2 linked regions of the Drosophila melanogaster genome follow. The protein of the gene in region 1 interacts with the protein of each later gene in a pairwise test. Each region holds a gene or a part of one and is shown on either strand. Other genes may lie near its edges. The genes, in order: yellow-b and Or85a.

Region 1 (6,655 bases):
GATTTAATATTTTATCATAATTTTCCGTAAAATTCTATCCATGCAATGCACGCGTTCATTTGAAAAGAGTACAGCTGAAAAAGGCTACAAGTTTTGTTAACATTTAATGGGCTTAAGGTGTTTTGCAAGGAGAACTAACTATGAAAACTAAGAATTAATTAAATATTTTAGACCACCGAATCTGTCTGTCTTCGCGCTGGGCGACACGCGAGTAGCTGGACAAATGGCAGTCCCTGTAATACTAAACCCCACACAAAACCGTTCCACGAGCGTAAATGTCTGCTGCGTCCAGTCGAAAGCGTGTCACATTAATTTTGCTGAGCGAAGAGTCCCCTGCGTCCGTGCTGCCCCCTTCTATCTATCCATATTAATATATAAATAAGTGGTATATATGTCTATCTTTGGATTATGTTTTGCATGGCGAGAAGAGTATGCCTTCCGACCACAAAGTACAAGTTCGAATCGGACGCAGGCGATGTGCCGTAGCTTGGTCAGCAGATATACGGCCTGGTCCGGTATATTGTAACTCTGAGGCGAGGGCACATCACAGTTATGGAAGTAACTGTTGGACTTTTCGGTCCTTGTCTTGCGACCACTCAATCGTTATATCCACACGCATAACACCACTACTATAATATAACTTTATAACTGAATCAGACGAACCGCATTCGCATACAACGCGTCTAGTTCAATCCACACAAACCGGCGGCTGAATCACCAACCACATCGATCACCACACCACTTCTCAAAGCATTCGTGCAATGATGGATCTGAAAGAGATTTACTAGAACGTTTGGTTACACATTTTGTTCAGTGTTGATTTACTCATTTATCAATATGAAATTAATCAATAATGCTTTGATAGTTGCAACTACTTTGTTTGGGAAAGTATTTCAAGATCGAATAAATTTCAAACTAATAAACGATAAGAATTTCTTTTGCCAAAGATCTTTGAAGCTTTCGACCAAAGATTTTTTTTTTATAATTAATAATAATCTTTGATTAAATATAAATGTTAACCGTGTTTATATTTCGCATAAGCTTTAAACATTTTTGTTGCATTTACTTTTAACTAAAGCTTACGGAACTAACTAATCAAATTTTCCTTATCCATTTCTGTTCGTTCCACAAATAATCACACAAATACTTAGCTAATGCCTATACTTTATTTAGAGCAAATGCATAAAATCAAAAACCAACAAAATTGCCTATGTTAAATCATTTTTAATGTTGTCATGTAAATGAAAAGATGCAAGATCAAGGATTAAAAACAAAAAAAGAATATAGCATTCTTGTACGTAAAATGTTTTTACCAAACCACAAAGAAAGATAGTATACAACAGCAAGTTATATAAGCAATTGTTTAAATTCTTTTTAACTATACAAAAAGCAAACAATACTATTAGGAAAACATATAAAATGCATAAAAGTACTATTTCTAGTTTAATGTTTCGATTGTTCTCTATTCTTTTGAAATTAATTTATTGACATTTTAAATAAAACAAATAAAAGTGAACATCATGCGTTTTCTTTCATCGATTTTGTTTCAGGTTAAAACTGATTCATAAAAAGTGTGAAACTGAAAGCTAATATTATTATTAAAGGGAACTTGCATTCATATCTTGTATGGAACGGCCACAAAATGGATGACTCATTGGGATATCCCCATTTTAACCAAGGCACTCATTCTGTCAGTTAGACAATCGGACGACCGGAACATTCCATGATGATAAACCAACAAATTAATTAAAATTTAATTTCAAATATTGATTTAATACAAGAAAAATTACTCGGACATGGGCTTGTCTAATATCTTTTCACATTTATGGGTCAATCATGAATACACAGTAGGCCTACAAGCTACAAGTGTGGGAGTTTTTTCAGGGGCTTGTCAATCGCGGGGCCACAGCTGGAGATTTTAATGGATGGATTAGTATGTCCATGGTGTGGGAGCTATGCATAATATTTGTGGGATAGCCCAGGGAGCGTGCCAAAAACTACTTTAATTCATAGCCAACGTGCTAAACCGTCTTACGGGCTGACTAATTCAAGTTCAGTCGAATTCCAAGAGAGCCGCTTGGAGCGGGAACCACTCACGCAGACCGGTCTCCAATGGGTTGACTTGTCTGGCGGCTCACTTGACTTTTAGTTTCGTTTCGAGTCTCGACACTGGCGGTTGTGTGCTGCTCTTTGGTTGATCATAAGAAGGTGTGTTAAGTGCCGACCCGAACTGTTGACATTTGGTTAAGATTTGTCAAGTAAATCACATAAACATATGTATTAACTCCGGTGATCATAAAAGCGAAGCCAGGGCCAAACGAAAGATTCAAGACACAAACTTAGAGGCAGCCAGGTGACAAGGCTTGCATAACTGGAGCTGACCAAAAAGTGTGTTTTCAATACTCTTTGAACCATTCACAATTGTAAAAAAAAACAATAAATATGTATCAGCAACAAAGCAAACAAAAAACACGTTAAGTAATGGCAATAAAAAAAGGGATAGATGGAAAATCCCGTGGCCATACCATTAAAATCCATTAATAATGATACAACATTTGTGATTACATACGGCTAGCTTAGACACGCCCACAATAAAAAACGGAAAGTATATTTTTACAGCTGACTCACGAAAATAACTTGAAAATTCACCATCGAGAAGAGTCCCAAATCGAAAATACACTTTATTTGAGGAACAAACGAAAGATATTGGCGGTCACTCCGGAGTGCGCATTTTGAAATGCTAATGGTTGAACTGCGAGGCTCAACTTGAAATTGATGATGAGGTCGAGTGTTTCGGACAACGAGTTAGAAAAAATGAAAGATACCCTAAAAATAAAGATCGAGTGAGGTGGTGGCAGTCAACTTGTAAACAGTTGGTTATGGAGAAAGGTTTAGTTTGAAGAGCACTTAAGTTGTAGTAGATCGTTCTCATTTTTTGTTTAGAGCAAAATAAAAAGCGAAAAAATAAAAAAGGGTAAAGAAAACATCGGCCAACTTCCTTGGCCACGTTCTGATCTTGTTCGTTAGATAATATACCTCAAGTCTCGCTTTTAACCAGAAATTAAACTTTGTGGTTTGGCAACTGAGTCAAAGTTTTGGCCGACCAAAGGCAACTTTCAAATGCCGAAGTGAACCAAAGCGACATAAAGTGTGAGTCACACGGAGCATTAGAAGGCCAAAAAGGCTGGTCCAAATGACATAATTTAAGAATTTATGAACATTAGAAGAAACAAATATACTGAGAACTAAATGTGATGGAAAATTAAAGAACCCTACTCATACTATGATTGAAAAAGTATGTAAGCACTTTTGTATCTACGATTTGTTTGTGCCCAATTCAGCAGTTTAATGCTACCATATTAAATGAATCTTAATTTGGTTTTTTTCGAGTGTTTGATCTGGTTGCGTTTATGGCTTGGACAAGGCCGTTGCGGCTTAACGGAAGCTTAAATGAATAGAGCAGCGTTTATTAATTGATTTTGGTATTTGCAGTGAATTTATTGGAGACATGCTGCGATTCAGATTAGGCCTGCTACTTCTGTGGGCGGTCTCTGCCCTGGCGAACGACAATCTTCGCGTAGCGTACGAGTGGCGGGAAATGGACTTCAAGTACGCCAATCCAGACCAAAGATGGTCGGCCATCGAGCGGGGCGAGTTCAAGCCGGCCAATGTGATACCCTTTGGCCTGGAGGTTGCCGGCCACCGACTCTTTGTCACCCTGCCCAGATGGAGGGACGGAGTGCCGGCCTCGTTGGCCTACCTTGATCTTAATGGTAAGCGCTTGAGTTGCATTGTTGCAGCTGCCACAGTACATGAATTTGAATATAATTGCCCCATGCAATTGCACTATGTGTGCCAAGAGCTGATCTGAGATCTCAAATCTCGGATCTCACAGCTCGGCAATTGTTTTGGTCGCGTCTGATGGCGCTTCTGATCAACTTGACCATCCGAACAATTCCGTTTCCTTTCGCACTTGCGGCAATTAGCATAGTAATAACGCTCGCTGACGTTATTAGCTGTCTGACATCAACAGCATGCCACAAATCGGTGCATACTAGATGTATGTATTTATGTGTACATATCACTTGGGGTTCTGTGTGGGCTGCGAAGTACACTTGTACAATAAACAGTCACATTTGGCCAATGCAAGTGTATCAAGTACATATAGTATCAAGTTGTTAAATTATCGCCGTTGTTTTCATTTTGTAAAACTTCTTGAATAGAACAAAATTAACATTTATTTTTGCACTTATCGAGAACTTTTCTTATATTATAATCTGCTAATTGGAATATTCCTGGCGAATCGTTGTAAATATAAAGTTACATTTCCTTTTACTGCTCAACAGCAAGGCCAGTGGGCAGTTGATTTAGCCACAACTCAATCAGAGCTCATTAGCAAGTTAATCAGTTTAGACAATTGCACTGAAAAGCAGCAGTGCGAATTACTCACCAACAGGCAACAAATACATACATACACAAACATTTTGTGAGCAATCCAATTAGCAATGCAAATGGCCAAATTTAAATACAACAAGGCGAATAAAATGACTGCTGACGAGAGAGATCAATAAACCTTCAAATATAATATATTATATATAAATATATATCAACAGAATATATATACAACGAATGTAAACTTATATAATATATTATATTAATGTAAAGTAATAGCGTTAATTGGTCTCACTTTAGATGATTATGTCAGGGATAAAATTAGTTGTATTAAACATGAGTTATTGTATTTTATTAAGCGTTCTATTTTGATGTATTTTATTCAGATACCTCCAGCAAGGGTCCAGCCTTGAAGCCATTCCCCAGCTGGCAGGCTCACAATCTCCAGGAAGCCGAACCGGAATTGGTTTCTCCATTCCGCGTGCGAGCCGATAGATGCGGACGCCTGTGGGTGCTCGACTCTAGGATCTCCGGAGTCCTGGAGCAGACCAAGATCTATGGAGCAGCCCAGCTGCTGGTCTACGATCTGCACAATGATGATTTGTTGAGACGACACGTTTTGCCCGCCGGTCAGTTGAAGCAGGGATCTTTACTGGCCAATCTGGCGGTGGAGGACTCTGACTGTGAGAATACCTTTGCCTACGCAGCCGATTTGGGCAGTCCCGGCTTGGTGGTTTACTCATGGAAGGATGAGGAATCGTGGCGTGTGCAGCATCACTTCTTCCACCCAGATCCAATGGCCGGTAACTTCAGCATCAATGGCATTGAGTTTCAATGGGATGATGGCCTATACGGACTGGCTCTATCGAAGCCCCTGGAAACGGGCTATGCCACATTGTACTTCCATCCCCTCTGCTCCACTACGGAATTCTCGGTGGATACATCGATATTGCGTAACAAGACCCTGGCCACTTCGCCGATGATTTATCGAGAATTCAAGGTGCTGGGCTCCAGAGGACCGAACACCCAGGCTGGAGCCGAGTTCTTGGATCCGGATACCGGAGTCCTATTCTACGCCCTGCCCAATCTGAACGAAGTCGCCTGCTGGCGCACTGCCACAGACTTTAGTCACAGTTCCCAGAGCCGCATCCACATGAACAATGATACCTTGGTGTTCCCCAGTGACATCAAGGTTGATGATCAGAAACGTCTATGGGTCCTATCCAATCAGCTACCCGTCTTCATCTACGATGAACTGTACGCCGGCTCAATAAACTTCCGTATCCTGACTGCCAGTGTTAAGGAGGCCATTGAGAATACAGCCTGTGAAATTAGAACTTCCCCTCTGCCAGATGTAATCAACAAACTGGGGGATATTCTCAATACTAACATCAAACTGAAGTCCAATTCGGCTTCTTCCCTTAGGAACCTCAGCTCCCTTATGCTGATTGCCTTATGTTTGCTGATGAGCTTTAGAATCTAGATTCCCGCAGCGGTACAAAAGTATCTTGCGCACTTGCGAACGAAAATGTTTTATGTTTTTCAAGAACAGAGAACTTGAAAAATTTCTGTAATTTTAGCATTTTCACTGATTTCTTAAACGTACGAAATATTTTTATTTGAGTGCAATTGTAATCTGTTAAGATGTAGGCTTAGAAAACTTAAACGTTGTACGTGAAGTTGATTAAATGTAAGAAGTGTATTTGAATAGTTTTCTTTATATGTACTTCCCACTTATTGCAAATCCAAGCCAGCTTGGTTATTGACTCAATATTTGGGTTGCTTTTCCTTCTTTTTATAGGCAATTTCTACATCGATGGTCTCATCGCTGGTTTGTGATTGACCATCCTCGGAGTTTGCCTCTAACTTTGCCTGCTCCTTCTGCTGCATCCTCTTAATGAATCCGCCACAGAAAAAGAGCATCATCTGAAAGGATGTCAAATACCTTGTTACTCTGCCAGTTTGAATGTGGACTTGGTCTTACATGCTCCAGTATTCCAATCAATCCCAGGACAGACAAGCCCAGTAGAAAACCAAGAGAACCACCCACATCGGCTATGAATTGTGTGGTGTCATAGCTGGGACGCTCTTCAATCATCTGAAAATGTTAACGGGCTCAGTGAAAGATCGATGCATCATAACATTATTAACCTACCGATATCAGTTTTGTTGTATAGTATATGTAGATTTGGGTGCGTGGCTCTGGTTGATTAAAGGCCTTTCTGTTCTGAATGAAAGTTGTGTATATTCTCGATTGGCAGGG
Region 2 (3,920 bases), on another chromosome or scaffold:
GGGATTGGGGGATCGGGGAATAATGTCGGGCAACAAGTGGGATGGTAATGCGATATCAAAGCAGCGGGAAAACGAGCTTGTAAGTCGCGAATAGCCTCCTGAATGGAGCAGCATCGAGGTCGATATACTCCGTCTCTCGGTTCATTATCGCTCCTTTATCCGGTTCCTTCCTGATTTGTTGCGATTGCCGCCACGAGTAACCCGGGAGCTCTATTGCGGTTTTTATGGCGCTGCACTCTCCAGTACGTGTTGCACTTGGAGTTGCTGTTGTGGAACACGATTCGAAATTAGAAGACGGCGCAGATGTGCAGCAGTGCCTCCAACTGCCCATAATGGTAATGGACCGGACGGCAGTTTCAGACGGGCAGCGAGCTCCAGCGGCAGGTGCCAAGAGGAGGAGGAGGAGGAGGAGACTCCTCCAGTCTCCAGATAAGAGGGCTACCCATTTGACACCATATAATGGCAAGCTATTATAGTAAAGTTTCAGTTGTGCTTTGTTTGCCAGAAAAGTTATGATAACGAAAGTACAAACTGATTTTCCAGATATCTAATAGATTGCCATAATGTTTGCAACACATTTAAATTTTATATAATCATTCTATATATTTTCATTTATTGATTGTGCACAAGTGAAACTACTCTCTTAAATTGAGTTGATCAAATTTGTGGCACTAAACCGAATTACTCCCTTCTCAATTTCTCGGCCAAGTCCATCTCATTTACAATGGTCACCACTGAGAAAGCGAACTTGGCCATCTGAAAGATTTTGTTTACAATAAAATGTAATGGTTTTGTATGATATTATCTTACCTTTATATTGGTGTTTAGACATATGGGGAAAATTCCGCCCGCAGTGAACAAAATCGACTGCTGAACATTGTGAATGAAGTACAACATCGTGGTTCTGTATCGTCGCTCAGCTCCAATCCACTTGGAATGGAACAGTGTGTTGGTCAGGGATTCGCAATCGCTGCTCAGCTGCTCACAGACATAGCAAAATGGAAAGGTCTGGGATAGAATGGCTATGGTGTAGACCCCGGAGACAACACGCTCCATTACGGTGTTATAGAACTGCATGGACACCGCTGCCAGACCCAAAAGTAAGCCAACGGATAGTAGTTGGATGAACATCGTGGCGGATATCATGGGACGCAGAGTGTTTCCATATCTAATGAGGAAAATTGAGTGGATTATGGCATTCTGCAAAGAGTATTCCATTCTTCCTCACTCGACAATTAGCTTGTGATCCTTTACACACTCCACCAGCTCGGCATAATGTTGATCGTCGCCTTTTTCCACATCAGTACGCAGCGTCTTGATTCGCTCACTCAAGAGCTCCATGTGGATCCGCAGAACGACCACATATATGATGGGATATACGTCCAAAATGAGATTGGCCAGAATAATGCCAGCCATGGTGACCGATTCAATGGCAGTGGCCAGATAGAAATGATCGTCGGGGTTAACCAGTGGATTGTACAAACAGAATGGAGTCTTCCCAATCACCAGAGCTCCGGTTAAGGCCATGGATAGATAGCCGAAGTATATGCAATGGTAAATCACAACAACACGATTGCATAAGGCTGCTGCTCGGTGCACCTGGACTTTCTCCTCCATCTTGGTGCATCGAATGTCCATGGCGTCCATCATCTTCTGAGCCCTTGAAAATCGCCGCCGCATAAACAACACTATAATGCCCTTCATGATCGAAGCATTGGTGTTAACCGGCACCTGGACATACGTAAACAGATCCGTGGTCGTGAAGTTCTTGAACTCCTTTATTCCAGTCATTATCAGTCCATAGGGTATAAAGATAAAGACGAGTACTATGACCACCAATGTCCAAATGTAATAGAGCCACCAGTACGGCTTAGTTCGTGGCGGCAGTCTCCATCCCATTTGATCTATGGATCTGTTTAAGTAGATCAGCGAATCCCGGGATCGAAATAAGGATCCAAGGACTGGCTCTTGAATGTACTTAAAAATCATTTTTGAAAGTTTAGAGGTTTCGATTGACTTGAACTTTGTCACCTGAAGACTGAGGGCAGTACCCTAAACTAGTTGCATTTATACGCGTTGTTTAATTGTCCAATGCTAGTTAGTTATTCACGAAAAGAACCGCCTTTATTTGCGTGCAAAATTGCACAGGTTGTTTTGAGGGGTGTGTCTTCATGTCTTAAATAATTGACAATTGTTCCCATATTGTCCCTTTCGCAGGAGTGGTTGTTAATTACTTTATTTATGGTCCTGTGAAAATAGCTTCTCTGCTGAACCTTAATCATTCTTCAATCTCAAGAATAGGATACACCCATGTGCACCTATCCTTAAGTAGTGTTCTATGCGCCAAGGGGAAATCTTTGCGTCATCGCTCAAAGTGCATTTCCGCACGTTCCGGGCATTCAAATTGTGTTTTCCCAGTCACAATCGGGGCACCCACATCCGCAGTTCTAAGAAGCAAATGGTAGCGATTTTCAGCCGAACAAACGGCTCTCCACTCAACTTGGGCTGCCGCTCGCCAATCCTCCTCCGCTCCGCCGCTCCACCGCTTCTGCAGGTCCCACTCCTAGCCACTCGGCTCACTCATTTGCCACCGAAACTAATTAGACGCAAATGTGCTTTTGTTCGCCTTCCCATTCCCAGGCAACGCTCTTTGTTCGCATTTTGTACTGGGAACCGGGAATAGCTTTCGGATGATACTGTGGCATACTCTGGCATATGAACAGTTTCCGAAAACAGTTTTTCATATTTATGTTAAAATGTATAGACACTTCCTTTATTCCTTTATGTTACCAACCTAACTAATCCGCAATCTTCTCTTTGCAGAGTCGCAGTGTCCGCAGTATGGCGAGGTGAACCAGCTGGGCGGCGTCTTTGTCAACGGCCGTCCGCTGCCCAATGCGACCAGGATGCGGATCGTGGAGCTGGCCCGCCTGGGCATCCGACCCTGCGACATATCGCGCCAGCTGCGAGTGAGTCACGGCTGCGTGTCCAAGATCCTGGCCAGGTACCACGAAACGGGCTCCATACTACCCGGCGCAATTGGGGGATCCAAGCCGCGCGTGACCACACCCAAGGTGGTCAACTACATCAGGGAACTGAAGCAGCGAGATCCCGGCATCTTTGCGTGGGAAATCCGGGACCGTTTGCTCAGCGAGGGCATATGCGACAAAACGAATGTACCCAGTGTGAGCTCCATATCGAGAATCCTGCGCAACAAGTTGGGCAGCCTGGGGCATCAGCACACGCCGGGAACGGTGATGGGCAGCGGAAGCAGCAGCGGTGGCGGCAGTGTGTCCAGCAATGGTGGACAAAACAATGGCACGAGTGCCAGCAATAATATTAATCTGAGCAATCTGGGTAATCCCGGCGGTGGACCGCACCATCCGCACCACCATCATCATCATCAGTCAGCGGCGGCGGCGGCAAGTGCCCATCATGTGCACGCCCACGCCCATGCCCACGCCCACCTGTACAACTCCATCTACCAGCCGTACAGTGCTGCGGCGGCCTACAGCATGAAGACGCCCTGTGGAAGTCCATCCCCGCCGCAGGGAGCGGGCGGTCAGGGATCAGTGCCCCATCCCCACCAGCTGAGGAGTGTGGCCGCCGCAGCCGCTGCCGCCCACTGGCCCTCCTCCCACTCGGTCAGCGATATCCTGGCCCACCATCAGGCTGTTGCCCTGCGCGCCAGTTGCCAAGTGGGCGTCGGAGTGGGTGGAATGGGCGGCATGGGCAGTACGGTATCCCCGCTGCCGATGACTCCTTCGCCGGTGGCGGGAACGGCCGGTGGTCAGCCACTGCTCGACTGCGAGGGTGGGGCGGGACAGCAGTCGCCGTACAACTACTACATGTACTTCCAGAACGGCGGAATGCATCACCACCATCATCACGGCGGAATGATGGCCGCTGGAGCCACGGGC

The links.
Region 2: the proteins of yellow-b (region 1) and Or85a interact in a two-hybrid assay, tested with the Drosophila melanogaster proteins (one large-scale study listed by BioGRID).

Annotation. Positions count from the first base shown.
Region 1 is NT_033779.5:16,752,191-16,758,845, forward strand, and holds yellow-b (yellow-b), read left to right. Parts: upstream 1-2,145; 5' UTR 2,146-2,208; exon of another isoform or gene 2,209-2,388; intron 2,389-3,492; 5' UTR 3,493-3,508; coding exon 3,509-3,773; intron 3,774-4,778; coding exon 4,779-5,875; 3' UTR 5,876-6,093; downstream 6,094-6,655. Other genes in the region: ppk17 (pickpocket 17), read right to left, coding at 6,160-6,318, 6,377-6,490, 6,548-6,655.
Region 2 is NT_033777.3:8,319,816-8,323,735, reverse strand, and holds Or85a (odorant receptor 85a), read right to left. Parts: upstream 1,990-3,920; coding exon 1,229-1,989; intron 1,169-1,228; coding exon 811-1,168; intron 757-810; coding exon 682-756; downstream 1-681. Other genes in the region: Poxm (Pox meso), read left to right, coding at 2,824-3,920. UniProt on the Drosophila melanogaster protein: Odorant receptor which mediates acceptance or avoidance behavior, depending on its substrates. The odorant receptor repertoire encodes a large collection of odor stimuli that vary widely in identity, intensity, and duration.